Astyanax mexicanus: one gene and its partner. The protein of the gene in region 1 purifies or fractionates together with the protein of each later gene. This does not show direct contact. Links are inferred from orthologs where the notes say so. Each region holds a gene or a part of one and is shown on either strand. Other genes may lie near its edges. The genes, in order: xab2 and aqr.

The links.
Region 2: the proteins of xab2 (region 1) and aqr fractionate together in Homo sapiens (co-fractionation; 3 studies listed by BioGRID and IntAct, with this or other methods). This does not show direct contact. The link is inferred for Astyanax mexicanus from reciprocal best matches to the Homo sapiens genes XAB2 and AQR.

Annotation. Positions count from the first base shown.
Region 1 is NC_064410.1:4,829,350-4,838,136, reverse strand, and holds the start of xab2 (pre-mRNA-splicing factor SYF1), read left to right. Parts: upstream 1-4,773; 5' UTR 4,774-4,913; coding exon 4,914-4,949; intron 4,950-5,814; coding exon 5,815-5,963; intron 5,964-6,080; coding exon 6,081-6,204; intron 6,205-7,294; coding exon 7,295-7,492; intron 7,493-8,458; coding exon 8,459-8,593; intron 8,594-8,701; coding exon 8,702-8,787. Other genes in the region: uncharacterized protein LOC103046674, read left to right, coding at 1,208-1,482, 2,849-2,890, 3,001-3,393. UniProt on the Homo sapiens protein: Involved in pre-mRNA splicing as component of the spliceosome. Involved in transcription-coupled repair (TCR), transcription and pre-mRNA splicing.
Region 2 is NC_064421.1:15,192,343-15,201,050, reverse strand, and holds the start of aqr (RNA helicase aquarius), read right to left. Parts: upstream 3,726-8,708; 5' UTR 3,617-3,725; intron 3,099-3,616; 5' UTR 3,070-3,098; coding exon 2,995-3,069; intron 1,132-2,994; coding exon 1,075-1,131; intron 810-1,074; coding exon 769-809; intron 204-768; coding exon 168-203; intron 51-167; coding exon 1-50.

The DNA of each region.
Region 1 (8,787 bases):
ATCACGGCAGAATTCAATGTGCACCTCAACTCTCCTGTTTCCACCAGAACTGTCCGTCACCACAATACATTATTGTGCTCTAAAACCAGGTGTTTCAGTTTCATTGTCCAACCCCTGTTCTCTGTGGAATGGCTTAACATAAAGAACGATCAGTGTAGTAATGTCAAAATATATCTTTCTAATAACTGTTCTTGGATTTAAAACTCAAAACTGATCTCCATTCTGCTTCTAGAGGTAATCACGACATAAAGGTATATCTGGAGATATTTCTCAAGAGCTTTATTGGAGACAGGGTTTGTACGGTCACGAAAAAACTGGAAAAGTCATGGAATTTGAAAATAGCAATTTCCAGGCCTGGATAAGTTTTGGAAAAATAAAAATACCTAGAAAATTTTAGAAAAGTCTAGAAATTGGTCTACAAATCTTTGTGTTTCCGTTTATCGATGGAGAAAATCTATTTTAAGCTAACAAGAACGTCAGCTTAGAATTAATTCAGTAATTTAGCCCTATACTATAGAGCTCTCAGGATCTGAAACCCATTTTATTATTAAAGTTTGTGTGTCAGATTCATTTTAGGCCTACTATAATCCATTTAAATTATACTTTTAGTTGATTTTTGGTTTTATTGTCCATGTCTGCACTGATTTTTTAAAAATCGTATGGTCATGAGAATTTGCCTTTAAGGCATGGAAAAGTCAGGAAAAAAAAGAATGGAAATTTATTGGTTAAAATGTGTATAAACCATGTGGATAGGTTTATCTAGAATGTGTATAATGTATATGTGTGTATATGTGTGTATATATATGTACATGTATATGTGTGTATAATGTATATATGTGTATAAACCATGTGGATAGTTTATATTGCGTTTATTTAAAAATCGTATGGTCATGAAAATTTGCCTTTAAGGCATGGAAAAGTCATGAAAAAAAAAATTTAAATTTATTGGTTAAAATGTGTATAAACCATGTGGATGGGTTTATCTAGAGTCACCTTCTTGAACTGTGTGAAGAGTCTGGAGAATATGAAAGTGCTTTTAGGAGTGATGAATCACTGGGTATCACTTTTTCTCATCCCATAGTGACAAATCCAGAATCTACCTGTTAAACTTGGTGGAGGTGGAATAATAGGTCATGGCTCTTTTTCATGGATAATGAAGAGATAATGAAACTTGTTGTCATTATCTCCTTTCCTGATATTTTTACAGCACTAAACACAGAACAGTTCTTCACCCTTGTGGCCAACTCTCAGAGCAAACGAATGGATGACCAGAGAACTACAATGCCAGAAGTCAGAACGGAGAAACCATTCGTTCCACAGATCATCCTGACCCCGGAGTCGCCTGCACCCAGGAGAGCTTCCTCCAGACCCACGTCCCTCACACAGGATCCAGACCTGCTCACCAAGCCTCCACCAAGATCTGCCACTTTCAGCCCCGTCTCAGAGAAAGAGAGGACTCAGTATGATAATGTTTCCACCAAGGTGAGTAACATTATCTATACTACCTGGTAGTATAGTGGGGGCCTACAACCCCCCACTCTTAAACATTGCTTAGCATCATATCATACAATCTGCATACCTTTTTGCACATTGTAGTACAAAGTTTTGTTCTAAATTAATTCATCTACTGGATTTGTTTCCAAAATTAGTATTTTTTTGTTATCATAAGGATGTCTGTGTGTACTGGGAGTACAGCATAGAAGGCATTACCACCCACAGCGGACAGGGCAGTGGGTGTTAATGATAGACTGTCTAAAATTACAGCACCAGGTACAGTACTGTGGAGAAAATATGTATTTAATACCCTACAAATTTTGCAAGTTTTCTCACCTACAAACAAATTGAGAGGTCTGTAATTTTTATTGTAGGTACACTTTAACTATTAGAGACAGAATAAAAAATAAAAGAATAAAAAAATCACAATGTATGATTTTTAAATAAATAATCAACATTTTATTACATGAAATACGTTTATGATCACCTTCCAACCAGCAAGATAATAAAGCATGGGGGTGGAAACATTTTACTTTGCTGGTGCTTTCCAGCAAATGGGAAGGGACTGTAACATTTTGAAGGAAGGATGGATGGGGTCATGTATCACAAGATTTTAGCCAAAAACTTCTTTCCCTCAGTAAAAGCACTGACGATGGGTTGAGTCTGGGTCTTCCAGCATGACAATGACCCAAAACACATAGATACAAAAATTAAAGTGGATTTTAAGAAGGAAGAAGCATTTCAAGTTCCAAGAGTGGCCTAGCCAGTCTTCACACCTGAAACCAATAGAAAATCTTGTGATGGAGCCGAAACAGAGTGTTGCCAAGCAACAGACCTGAAATCTGAAAGATCTGGAGAAGATCTGTATGGAGGAAGAGTGGGCCAAAATCCCTGCTGCAGTGTGTGCAGACTCGGTCAAGAACTACAGCAAATGTCAGATTTTTTATTGCAAACAAAGGTTTCTGTATCAAATAATAAGTTATGTTTTTTATTGTATCAAATACTTATTTCATACAATTTAAGTGTACCTGAGATAAAAATTACAGATCTCTTCATTCTTTGTAGTTGGGAAAACTGTCTGAATTGCAAAATCGGCAGTGTATCAAATACTTATTTTCCCCACTTTATGTCTGTTTTGAGCCCTTAATAATAAAATAATAAAATTCCATTAGCTACTATTGGAACATGCAGAGCATGGCCAGGGAACAAGATACTAGTTCCTGTCCAAGACATTTGGCCTGTCAGTGTTGTACACTTGTTAAATATAAAGCAAACAAGCTATTTAGTGGCTTTTTGCTATAGCTTTGAGGTTAAAGATCAGTTTAATCACCATAATCTCCCTTCTTTATTGCAGCTTACCTTCAAAGTGTCCGTATGCCTCACTGCTCCCAAACAGGTGAGTGGACTGTAGGAATTGTGGACCAGTATTTATATCCGTTTTTTATGTGCATACCTGTCGATTCCAACACACATTTCTCTTTGCACTTTTCCCTGTCTTTCTCTCAGCAGAGTAACTCAGACGGTCAGCAGAGTTCTTCCCCAGACGTGTTCCTGACGATTGGAACACCAGCAGGGAAAAATTTTCTCCTTCCACTCACTCCTATGGTTTGCGGACCCCCATCTCTTGAGACGACACCCCGGCCCAGGAGACACCGCTCCAGGTCTTCCTCACCCTACCGAGCTCATGGACGAACGTCCCACCCCAGACCCTCCTCTCCTAGGCCTGCACCTCATCCTCCACCCATTGGAACTGATGAAGATTACTTCTCCCTCATTCACAGAGTCCACACAGCTCAGCTTCAGCAGGGAAACGCCGCAGAGAAGAGCCGGGAGCCAGGGAAGGGAAGAGAACGAGGGGATGGGAGGAGAGAGAGAAAGGATAGAGTGAAAAGAAAATAAGCATTATGAATGTACACTGAGCTCAGCTGCCAATTTATCAGAAACACATACTTTACTAAATTAAACCAAGGTTTAAAACTGTGTGAAATAAATGATTATGAAGGATTATCTCACTGTGTGATGATTGCATTTATTTGAGAGTTACATAAAAAATCTATGTGTCTGTGAACATTACACAGAAGCTCAATGGGATTTAGGTCAGGACTTTGACTGGGCCATTCTAACACATAAATATATTCCTTGATCTTAACCATTCCACTGTAGTTCTGGCTGTATGTTTAGGGTCTTGGTGAAAGATCAATCTTCACAGTTTTAAGTCTTTTGCAGCTTCCAACAGGTTTTTTCCAGGATTGCCCTGTATCTACCTTCTGCAACTAGAATTTAAATTGCAGGTCGACTTTGATATCAGTTCTCTTTTACCCTCGTGTGGTCATGCACACACAAACACACACACACACAGTTAAAGGTACGTTTCTTCTTTTCAAGCTATTTTCTCTATTAAAACTACCCTTAAAAATACCCTAAGATATACTACAATAAATCTACCTTGAGATATTACAATACAGCAAATCTACCCTGAGATACTATAATACAGCAAATCTACCCTGAGATATTATAATACAGTACGTCTACCCTGAGATATTATAATACAGCAAATCTACCCTGAGATATTATAATACAGCAAATCTACCCTGAGATACTATAATACAGCAAATCTACCCTGAGATACTATAATACAGCAAATCTACCCTGAGATACTATAATACAGCAAATCTACCCTGAGATATTACAATACAGTACGTCTACCCTGAGATATTATAATACAGCAAATCTACCCTGAGATATTATAATACAGTAAATCTACCCTGAATTATTATAATACAGTAAAACTACCCTGAAATATTAAAACACAGTAAAAAAAACTACAAACTAAAACAAAAATAGTATGCCAGATGTAAACCACACTTCACCATTATTACTGTCCCCTTCCCAAAAATACAGCTAATTACCAGAATTAAAAAAAAGGGAATCATGGTTTTATCCATGATTTAGTCACAAAATAGTGTTGTGATTAATACAATTATTTTTAAGGGATTGGCACCAATTATAAAAATCTGTTTATTTATTTTATTCACATTTAAATACCAATTATTCATATATTATTTATATATATATTTATATATATATATATAAATAAAGCTAAATAAGGAAAGATAAAGTGTGATTAATTGTGAGTTTTGTGTTCTACGCTGCTAATAAAAAATAAATTAATTTAAAAAAAGAAAGTGGTGAAGTTGGTTTTGCTGTTGCAGTTCCACCTTTAACCGGTGGGGGCAGTGTAATCCGCCAGCGCGGGCTCCAGTTCACCCGGCCCCAGCAGCGGGTGAAAGGTCGAGGGGGCGGAGCTAGTTAGCATTGCGTCCACAACACGTTCAGAGTAGCGGAGAAGCTAAAACGATTAAACAGTTTTATTTTACATTTATAGGTTTATAATTCAGTTCTTCTACCGGGAGAGGAACATGCCTACTTTTAACGGAAAACCGGACGTTACGTTTGTATGTATTTCTGTGTTTTTTATGGATAGAATATCACGGCTAGGCTACCAAGTATGGTATCTGTGGGAAGCTAACAGCTAATAATGGCTAACTTTCGTTACTATTTTAAAATCAGTTATTAAGATTTATTTAGGCAGAATTAGATAAATATGAAACATACACTGTAGTAGATAAATAGGACTGGCTGATACTTTTGCTGTGAGGACTGTTGTTTCTTTTTAGAACGTATTTTTGACACTTTTGTGGCTAACCCTAGCTAGTTAGCTATATTTACAAAACAGAGAAATCCGGTCTGAGATCAGTGTAATAAATTAGAAATGCATTTTGAATATTAGAGTTAACACTGGCTTTATAACCAGCTTGCTAGCTATATAAGCTGTTCTATAATGTCCCTATTCTTCATTTTGAGTTGGTATAATAGGATGAATTGTACTTTTTTTGTAATTAAAATTATTTGTAATTAAAATACATTCAAAGACATTCATAATACATAACTAAGGTGGACTATGAAGCTCTACAACGTAACTTATATTACATATGATTACTGCTACTGTTTCATTGGCTGGTTTATCATCTATTCTGATGAACAACAACAGGTCTCAATTAGTTTTCTGTCCATCAAAACATTAGAAAAAAGAAACTACATATGTTCTACACATGTTCATATTTATGTAATTGACGTATATTGTAATTGATGTAATTTAATTCAAGTATAATTGAATTTAATATACTTAAATTATGCATTACCTTGCTGTATCCAAGTCTTTAAAATGGTTCAATTCAAATGTATAAGTCTGAAGTTCTGAATTCTGCATTCTGCCCTGGTGTTTGTAAAGTTAACTAACTCCATAAATGAATCTCTCAGGAAGAAGATGACTTGCCCTATGAAGAGGAAATCATCAGGAATCCATATTCAGTCAAGTGTTGGATGCGCTACATTGAACACAAGCAAAGTGGCTCCAAGTCAGTGCTTAATATGATCTACGAGCGAGCGCTGAAGGAGCTACCTGGCAGGTAAATGCAGCTACTCCATTTAAAACCATTCATTGTATTTTGATGGGAAAAAAGTTAATGGTTGTTGTTTTATGTATGTAAAAAACAATGTATGTATTTGTTTTTCTTCAACTACAGTTACAAACTGTGGTACAACTATTTGAGGGAGCGGAGGAAGCAGGTCAAGGGAAAATGCGTAACAGATCCCGCTTATGAGGAAATCAACAACTGCCATGAGAGAGCACTGGTGTTTATGCACAAGGTAAAATTACTAGTATCCTATTCTGGAGTTACAACAAATTACTTTTCATGTGATTTCACAGTTGCTTGTTTTAATGTTTTACTGGGAAGGACAATATTTTTTGTCTTCTTTTTCCACAATGCTTTTCTGGTCTATCACCAGCTCACATCATGTGATTTATATGTATACAAACGAATGCACTTTTAGTTGATTAGCTCAGTTGCCAGCTCTGTAGGTTTTAAAATGTTTTTTTTTTTTAATAATTCGATGTAAAATGAATGTGTAAAATGAAAATGATTAGATGAAAAATGTTAGCCTACTAATATGTATTTTTTATCAATCATCAAATAAGAGAGTGATTTAGTTAAATGAATGTATTTGTTGTAGCTGTTATAATGTATTTAATTTGTATATTTATTACAATTTAAAAGTAAGCATGTTAATGATAATGTTAATGATATCCCCCACAATTTTGGGCATTTTCTTGCTTTTTCTCACCAGATTCATTGTTTGTGCAGGAGGCAGAAATACACAGCATTCCTTAACATCAGACATTAATACCACCATAAATTAGTGTCTTCTAGGGGTGTCACGATTTCGATATTTTATCAAAATCGATCGAAATTATGACATGGTCTTGAGCCTCGAAGTAAAAAAGAGGATCGACGATCCCTCCCACAAATGCCGCAGCACGCTCAGCAAATGGCGCAGCGCACTGTAGCCCAGGGTTTTTCAACAGAGAGAGAGCGACTGCTTGAGCGCAGCCCCACCCTCCGACAAAAAGTTCCGTTGTGTGTGAGAGAGACACACACACACACACACACACACACACACACGAGCCTCTCACACGCAGAACAGCTGCCTTTCAACCGCAGAGGAGAAGCTGAAAACGGATTTATAGAACTAAAGAAATAAAGAAAATCGTAAAAAGTAAAAAAAAAAAAAAAAAAGAAAATCAAGAATCAAATCGTGACCCTAAAATCGGAAATAAAATCGAATCGAGGATTTAGAGAATCGTGACACCCCTAGTGTCTTCTGTCCTGTGATTTCTAAAAGTTTTGAACTAATAATAGATTTTGCACTTCATGCTTCTTCTTCTTTTTTTTTCCAGATGCCGAGGATATGGCTGGATTACTGTCAGTTCATTGTGTCTCAGTGCAAAATCACAAGGAGCCGTCGTACCTTCGACCGAGCGCTCAGAGCCCTACCCATCACTCAGCATTCCCGAATCTGGCCTCTGTACCTCAAGTTTGCACGAAACTTACCTCTGCCTGAGACCGCCATTCGCGTTTATCGTAGATACCTCAAGGTAAGAAGGTGTAATTGTAGAGCAGTGACTCCAACTTGTTATTGAACCCTACTGAATATACAGAGCATAATACTGTACAATTGCCGTATTTCTTGCACTATAAGGCGCACTTCAAATCTTTTAGTTTTCCCAAAAATCTTCAGTGTGGCTTATGTATGAATTTTACCAGTCAGGTATTAAGGAGCAGTAAATCCATTTTGCTGATGGATTGTACAGTGTTGTAAAGGTGTTTCAGTTTAGTTCCTTAGCAGAGCAACTGGAACAGAATTAGCATTAGCTGCTATCTCTCTTCGTCATTTAGACGCTATGTGGGACAAACCACTAGCTGATATCGCCCTGGCTTACCAGAACACATTTAGAATTCCTCAGTATAGCGCTGCCGGGCAGCATTTACTAGCCATTTAATAACCAAGGCTAGCAGTTAGCCTCTAATGCTAATGCTGCTGCACCCAGCCTTAATGGAAATCTGGAAATCTAAGCTTACTGTAAATAAACTAAAGTGCTTTACTCATCTATATGAATCGCTTTCAGGAGAGAAATCTGTGTAGATTTACATCCGGTGCTTGTTTGACTTTAAAAGAAAATGTTTTTATTTAGGAGTTACTGATTTTGTTTACTTGGCTTTGCTTAACTTAGTTACCCCCCACCAACTCCCAGCGGCGAGACCTGATGACCTGATTCCTTACTAGTTTTGCGTAACGCGCCTTTTAATCCAGTGCACCTTATGTATGTTTATTGATAGTGCACCTTATAATCTGGAGCACCTAATAGTGCGAAAAATACGGTGCAAGAACAAGAATATTGTTAGTATAGTTCTATACTCCATAATTTAATGCTTAATAATTTTTTTTTTTAGATGTCGTATAATTGATCATTTTTACGTGCTGCCAGATACAAACACTGACATTTTTTTTTGCAACACCGAACACTTAGTTCTGACTCTCTCCTTTCCTCTGCTCTCTTCAGCTCTCTCCAGAGAACACAGAGGAGTACATTGATTACCTGCGCTCTGTAGGACGGCTGGATGAGGCAGCAGTCCGGCTGGCAGCTGTGGTTAATGATGAAAGCTTTGTCTCGAAAGAAGGGAAGTCAAACTACCAGGTCAGCATTTTACAGGATTTTAGTTCATCTACGTTTAGTTCATTAACGTTCGGGCTCTTTGTAGAGAAATCTGAGCTCATACATGTCTTGGTTTGTTTCCAACTGTAGCTCTGGCACGAGCTGTGTGACCTCATCTCCCAGAACCCAGACAAGGTGACCTCGCTGAATGTGGGCGCCATCATTCGTGGCGGCCT
Region 2 (8,708 bases), on another chromosome or scaffold:
TGGACACCTCAGGGCTGTAGTTAACCCACAAGTAATTCTCAAGGTACTGGCTAGAAGGCAAAATAAAAAAATTAAAAAATAATCAAACATGGAACTACAATAAATAAACTAATAGTAAAACATCAATTATACTCTTTAAACAAAACAATAAGACCAAAATCACATACCTAAATTCCAACAACATGATTTTTCGGATTGCAAATCTGTAACCAAAAAGGATTTGCATAATCAATAAAACAGCAATTATTTATTAAAACAATGCAATAATGATAAAATGTGTTCTAAATGCAGTGAAACACAAGGAAATATGACTAAATGTCCTATTAACACACTCAGCCACCCTTTACACTTACTGAACACAGATATACAAATGCATATACATGGCATGTATAGTCTATGTAGAGAAATATTGCCAATAGCATAGAGAACTGTGTTCTATGAATTGATAATACTATGTTTAATACTTTTGGGACAAGGTGTGGTAGTGATCATCCAACATTTTGACCTCACCAACAACAAATTCTCAATACTTCATACATACCTACATACATAAGGAGAGTAAAGAAATGTTTCTTAACCTTGCCATAGAGGCAACAGCACTAGTATACACCAACGTGATGAACCAGTTTATGATCAATTATTTTTTTCGCACACAATTTATCTGTCCAAAAAAAGCTTTAATTCCAGCGAGTGTGCGATTTTTATCTTCCCAGGGTTGGTGGTACGATGTTAGGGCAATAGTTAACATAATAATGCTAGCATACTTACTTTGATTTGAAAATTTCATTCTGATAGACATCTTCAATGACCTGTTAAAAAAATAAAATAGGCACAATGTTTAAGGGGGATTTTTGACTAGATGAAGCATTTTTTTGTATAATATTCACATTATGTCAGAAAAACCCTCGTAAAATCCCTGATTCACATAACACTGAGATCTGAACTGCATTGTGTTAACAATGCCAGTAAAGTAAAGTGACAATTAAGAATGCACATATCAGGCTAATGCAGTTTTCAGAGACAATCAACTGCAGTACGATAAAACATGACCACATACATAAATGTATTCCTTACCTTACAGTCAAACGGCAGCTTATTCTTGGCATGAGGAGCCCAATATTTAACTGAGAGCTAAAAAAGAAAACAGAACATGAGAGGACAGCCTTAAGAAAAGATGTAGCCAACAATGTCTATATGTGGTGGATTATATCACTATTTAAACAGTTGAGTAACTTTGAGTTTATGAAAGATACATTTAACGCTCATGAACTAGCTACATGCTTAAAACAACAACTATGTAAACATTTCTTTTACAATTATTTACTATATGTGATTCCTTATAAGTAATTTGTCTGTAAGTTTTAAGTGGTTTTATTCTTTCCATTTTGTGTACAGTTACTGCCACTTTAAGAATCTGTCTCAAACAGTCTCAAACACACCTTCATATCAGAATATTATGACCACCTGCTTGCTTCTACTCTCATTGGACTGCAGTCCATCCGATTCTTTGTACTCTTTTATTTAACCTCCTTCAATGACCAGGAACACCAGAGGATCCACCACAAAGCAGGTATGATGATGATGTGGTGGTTTATTTTTACCACTGCTGTGTCACTGACATGGGGATGGTGTCAGTGAGTGTAGCGCTGGTACAAGTGGATGACACCTCAATTTTTAACCTCAGTGTCACTGCTGGACTGAGAATTGTCCACCATCCAGAAATCTCCAGCCAACAGCATCTTGTTGAAAGTGTTCTGCGACCACCAAAGTGTACAGCAACAGATTACAGACAGAGCTTCTGTCTTTCCCTTTACTTTATCTCCAAAGTAGGAGTGTCAGTGGACAGTGAGTGAACAGTGTTTAAAAACTCCAGCAGCACTGCTGTGCTGTTTCACTTATACCAGTACAACACCCTTATGCAATGACTACAACCATCTAAGTGTCACTGCAGTGCTTAGAATCACCCTATGTATAATAACTGCTCTGTGGTGGTCCTGCTGGACCATGACCACTGAAGAGAACGGTGAAAAAAAATCCCTCTGTGTACGGTAAATATAGCTAATGTAATGTTGTACCTGTGCATTTTCGAAGTTCTCAGTGCCTTGTTTTAAACGTCAGGGCCCTCAGAATTCTACCAATGAAGTGTGGAGCTACTTCGAGTTTGTTAATGGTGTAAAAACAGTGATTTCTTTGCATGGGCAATGCTATGACCCCATCATTTGCACTGTAAGACTGTTGGGAGCATTAGCTAAAAGCACTGTATTTCAGAATGCTGGAGGAGAACAGAGGTGGGCTATTCAAATAAAGTTTTAACTCATTATCATGTTTCACTACATCCCAATGTCCATTTCACACCGGAATTCAACTTCAAGTTGAGGGTACCAATCACTTTGTATGGCTCATTTTTTCTTTTGGATGAAATTAGCTTATATTAATTTTTTTTTTTCCTTCTGTTTTTTATTTTGTTGTTGTTCCAATACACAGACAAAAACACATATATATATAAAAAAACATGTCTACTTGCAATCAACTTCCTGGAAACACACTTAATTTTAATAGGTTTGCTAAGCCTAGCAGTCCTCACAATAACTTAGCTATAGAAATTAGCTATTTGTTAACTCTTTTAGGCCCTGCATACATTACAATTATTTTTTAAATGTTTTATTGCACATAACACCATGTGAGAGCTGTTGTCCATCAGAATAGACTATGAACCAGTCAATGAACAAGTTTATAAACCAATGAAACAGTAACTTGGCCCCGTTTACTAAACTGGGAAAACAGTAGGTTAGTAACAGAGCTATTGAGGCAAAGTAACAGCTCATTTGTAGTAAATTAATGTGATTTAGAGCACTGTTTTTACTGTTTAGGGGTGATTTATGAAATATAAACATTTTACACACATACTTCCAATGCAATGGAAATAAAATATTTTAGCCAACTGGACTTAAACCACAGTCTTTCACCTTCATATTTCACAGCTAAAGTTCTTACCTGAGTCACATATTCTGCGTTAATCTGAGACACAGACGGAGCTGCAGTCTTCTTCACCCGAGCGTCCTTCTCCATAACGTCTTCACTAGCTAACGCCACACAACCTGTGGAGGTCCATTTAACATTTATCAAACATAGTCACAAACAAAACACTCAGCTACTTAACCGAAAACAGACAGAACTGGCAGAAATACCCACAAAAAAGGTCTAAACTGCTGCCATAGGGCTAATTAGTCAGCTAGTATACATGACTATGCTGTAACTTATCCCATTCAATTTTAATTCATTCAAACAGTAACGTTAAATTAGTTAGAAAAGAGTTCAGAAGAGGCAAAAACAGAACAAAAATGAGTAAAGTCATTTTTTGCTAATTTTGTTATTATTTAATGTTATTTACTGGGATTTTAAACTCTTGTAAAATAACTAATTAAATTCCGTATCAATAAGTTACACTTCAGTACAAACAGTAGTTAGCTAACCAAGCTAACAAACAAACTCAGCACCAGCAGACCTAAACAAAACGCTACTATTTAAACCAGTTACCCCAAACAAACTATCTACCAGCCTGTTGTTAGTTAATATGTTCTTTAATTGAATATAAAAGCGAATAATTCATAAATACCTTGTTTACCCGCTAAAACGTCATTAATACGTTGTTAGCTCGTGTTGCTAGCTAACATGTGTGCGCGCACTACAACCAGAGCTGGTTTACAGCGAGCCTGCGCACTTCCTCTCCACACAGGGTTGCCAGGTCCAATAAAAAATATCCAGCCCAAAGTAAATCTAAAACCCGCCCTTTGGAAGCTTAAACTAGCCCAAAATATATGCCTCTCACACATTTGAAGCAAATGGCAAGACAACCATGAGTGTACGACTTAGTATTTTGTTCGTAAGGGTTTATCAGTATTGTTATTTATCTTAAAGTCATCAATAATATTGTAACATTAGTGTTTTATTAGTTCTTAAAGCCTCTTGGCTTGACTTTACTTTTATAACCGGTTTATATCCCAGTCAATAACATGTAAAAGTAACTTTTTTCATCGCCTGGTAATTTCTGGTTACATTTTGATTTCTCCCGGTTACACTCTCCTTTTAATGCTGTCCTTAATGTGTTATGTTATGCTGGTTCTTAATGTTGTAATTTTTTTCTATTTTAGCCCCTTACAATCAGAAATACAGGAAACAGTTTTTTTTTTTTTTTTTGCATTTTGTAGCAATTTTGTTCATTTTTTAAGAAAACAAATTCTGAAATTTGTGGGGCAGAAATGAAAAAGAAGAAAATTGTAAAACTAGTTTTTTTCTTGACAACGCCAAATGAAAAAAAAAAAAAAAAATATATATATATATATATATATATATATATATATATATATATATATATATATATATATATATATATATATATATATATATATATATGTTTACACCCTATTTTCTAATTTAGCCTTAAACAGAAATTTGAACTGATTACACATTACACAAATTACACAGACACCACCAGGGGCTTTTTTAAAAAAAGTTTTTGATCCAGCACCCCGCCACCCCTACATTTTCAAACAAGTCTAGTTATGCAGGAAAGCTGCGAACCTGGCAACTCTGTCTCCACATCTCCCCAGTTATTTTATAAAATTACTGCAAAACGCTAGAGGGAGCCCGCGAGTGAGCCCTCAATGAATGGCGGTGAATGAAGCTAAACGGTTAAAAACGAAAATAAAAATAAAAATAGTAATTAACTGAGTTAAATATTTAAATCAATTTTAGAAAATAGATTATTTCTAAATAGAAGTATTTCGTTAAAATGCAAATACGACATACCTGTAAGTTTCAATAATTCTACAGTAAACAAGTTTTATGAAGTGAAGAAGCTAGGCATTACTGCTACTGTAAGCTGACTGGTTGGTGCTCTGAGTTTAAAAGGTTTATAACTGGAGTTTAAGCTATAAAAGCTTTTTTATTTTTTAATTATGCATTTGGTACATTGAAACATTTAATATTGCTCTGTGTTGAGAAAATTAGCATACATTTCAGTATAAAAATGAACATTTATAAACCCATTCGTTTAGAATTTACTCAAAAGCGCCCTCTTGTGGTCCGATGAACCCAAAAGTGGATATTCTCCTCCATAAAAAATCTCTGGTAGAACACAGTGAAGCTAGTAACTGGTGTACATTAATGCCAAAATAAAAGTCACAAGAAAGCAAAATAAATAAAAAAATAGTGAAAAATGTAATTAATCAATAAATATGTAAGTAATTATAACAATATAAGTGATTTCTCAACGTCACGCTAATTTCACCTTTTCAAGCCTATTGTAAATTAAGAACAAAATAATTTTTCAAAATTTTTAAGGTTTAAAAAAGGATTTAATGATCGATTAGAAATCTTTTAAAATCTTACAAAAAAAAACAGAAAAAAAAATAAAATGAAAAGAAAGTCTGTTTCCTAATTTTTGTAAAAAACAAGTTACTTTTTTACAAATTGTTGATCAAATGTCATGTTGCATCTTAAGTTTATTCTTAAAACAAAGTAAATAATTAACCCTGTGAGCTATCTTTGTGGTTTTAAGAAGAACTCCTCCATTAGTCCAAAAGCAAATGTTTATGGTTTGTGGTTTAGGGGTCACCAGGGGTCAGTATAATGTTCATCTGTTAAATTTTCTGACCGTTTAAGGCTTAATTGTAATTAAATAAAATAAAAATATAAAATGAAATTATTTTATATTTTCCATTTAATATATTAAAGAAGAAATGTGTTTTCAATTATTTTCCAATGTTCAAGTGTTCTATTTTAGCCCCTCACAATTAGAAATACAGGAAACCTGAAAAAAAAAAGTTTTATTTTTGCATTTTATAGCCATTTTGTACTTGGAATAAAAAAGATCTTCTGGTAATTACCTGAATTCATGTATATATAATTCATGAATTCGTTTTTACACTGTTTAACCCATCATCTAAAAAATGGAAGGAGCATGGCACAATTTTCCTGAACACACATCATTTCCAGACCACCACACCCATCGGCATAGATATAGCTCTGGAAAAAATTAAGAGACCACTTCAGTTTCTGAATCAGTTTGCTAATGTTGCTATTTATAGGTATATGTTTGAGTAAAATGAACATTGTTGTTTTATTCTATAAACTACAGACAACAATTCTCCCAAATTACAAATAAAAATATTTAGAGCATTTATTTGCAGAAAATGAGAAATGGCTGAAAATAAAAGACGCAGAGCCCTCAAATGATGTAAAGAAAACAAGTTAATATTTATAAAGTTAAGAGTTCAGAAATCAATATTTGGTGGAATAACCCTGTTTCTTAATCACAGTTTAGATGAATCTTGGCATGTTCTCCTCCACCAGTCTTACGCACTGCTTTTGGAAAACTTTATGCCTTTACTCCTGGTGCAAAAATTCAAGTTCCATCTTTCTCTTGTTATATTCCAGAGGTTTTCAATTTGGTAAAATCAAAGAAACTCATAGTTTTTAGTTCCAGAGCTGTATATTCACAAGCACCTTTACTATTTAAATAATGCAGGCACAAGGCGAGGAAAAAACTGTTTCTTGGGATAGAAATGAGCATTGTGACATGCTTTGCGCTGGGCTTAAAATAAAGACCTTGAAGTCAAACAAGGATTTGTTTTACTTTTCTGGCAGACAAGCAGTTATTTTACATAACCAACAGCCACCTTAAAAATATTTCTATGGTTTCTTGGTAAAAATGTTGTTTTACTTTATAAAACAAAGATACTAGCTATATTAAATACATTTTTAAATGCATTTTGTGGTTTCCAGTAGCTTTTTTAAAGTAAGTTCTGAGATTCTGATCCTATTAAAAATGACTAAAAAGTATAATTAAAGCACAGATCATTTGTGCAAGTCCTTTTAACTGATGAAAGGAGCAACAAGACGCTTGATCACAAACGTCTTGTGATAAAGCAGTTTTGAACTATTGCCACACGAGGGCGCCACACTCCACTTAATACACTCACATATAGTCTATCTCTGAATATTTCTGCATTGATTTTTTTCTTCTTAAGTATTAGATCAGATTAAAACAATATAAAATAGGCTATATAGTTGTACTTCTATAGTCCTAATCTCTCTAGTCTTTTTTATGATTACTGTACTGTAACATGATAAATACAATGCATGATTTGTTTTAACAGCCATATACTATCAAAGCAGTCTAGTAGCTACAGAGATCAACACAGTTTTATATTCACTCAAAAAATTCACAAGCATTCATGTCACCAAATCCTAGTATGCTTCCATTTCCATAATAAGAGCCCTCTGAGCTTTCTGACCACATGAATGAGGATCTGAATTGCTGCATCTGTTACCCTGTGTAGTGGTTGTTCATTTCCTACAGAGCAAAACAAAATAATATCTTTATTAAAACCAACACAAGCTTTCATTTCCATTTGTAAAAGATGAATCAGTTAAAGACACAAAAACATGATCCTCTGTCTAGGCCTACGTGCTGACAGAGTGATGGGAACGGGGTTGTAGACACGCTGTCCCTGCCCGTGTCTGTGTGAGTGACACAGCCGCTTATTGTGGTGGCAGCGATGGCTGTCTGGTTCTGGGTGGCACTGGACTATGCAGAGTATGTGAGATGTTGTTGACACTGAAGAGGCGATGTACTCCCTGCCCTTCTCACAGCTGCACTGCACTGTGTGTGCGGCTAAGAATACGAGGACATGAATGCTCAACTCAGGGTCTAGACCGAGCTTGTCTTTTCTGTTTATCTGAAATTATAAATTATGATTATGTTCAGAATGCGTAACAATGAATACACTGTATACTATTACAATACATAAAGAATAGTATTTAGAATAAATAAATGTACTCACCTGTTGGTTGGATGTGATTTCTGCCAGAGTCGCTTATCAGCTTGCACAGACACTTCTAGCCAGTCACATCATTCCACACACTGCTCTGCTGCCCACTCTGGGTGGAAATATCAGTCTTCTATGATTTGTTCCTAGTGCACTTGCCATAAGCACAGCACTGGTCAGAGTGCCTACAAAAAGCACTCACAAGATAACACCTCACAACAACTACAGGTGTGGGCGTTCCCAAACCATCAAAAATGGTAACCAAAGTGAACCACTTTTTGTTGCCATATAGAACGATGTACAAAAACTGAGACAAAGAACTATTTAACCCTTGTGTGGTGTTCGGGTCTGTGGGACCCGTTTTCATTTTTCATCAAATGATACTAAAAAAATATTTTTTCTAACTCAAACTCATTGACATTGGCTCATTTTTTGTGAAAAACATATATCAAAACACATTTTCGATAAACACACACTGTACACCCCCCGTAATTAATATTTGGTGGAGTAACCCTGGTTTTTAATCACAGTTTTTATTCATATTGGCATGTTCTCCTCCACCAGTCTTACACACTGCTTTTGGATAACTTTATGCCACTCCTGGTGCAAAAATTCACCATTACATTCCAGAGGTTTTCAATTTGGTAAAATTAAAGAAACTCATCATTTTTCAGTGGTGTCTTATTTTTTCAGAGTTGTATATCACACACCTGATCTGATAGTAAACTAACAAACATGGACAAAAAAGAGCAAAGCAGCACATGAAGTTTCGGTTTTATCTTCACTAGCATCAAAAAATATCAGTCAGTTTCAGTGGGAGACAACTGCTCTTCTTACCAAAAATAAGTTTGAGCTTGCTGTTAAAAGGACAGGCTA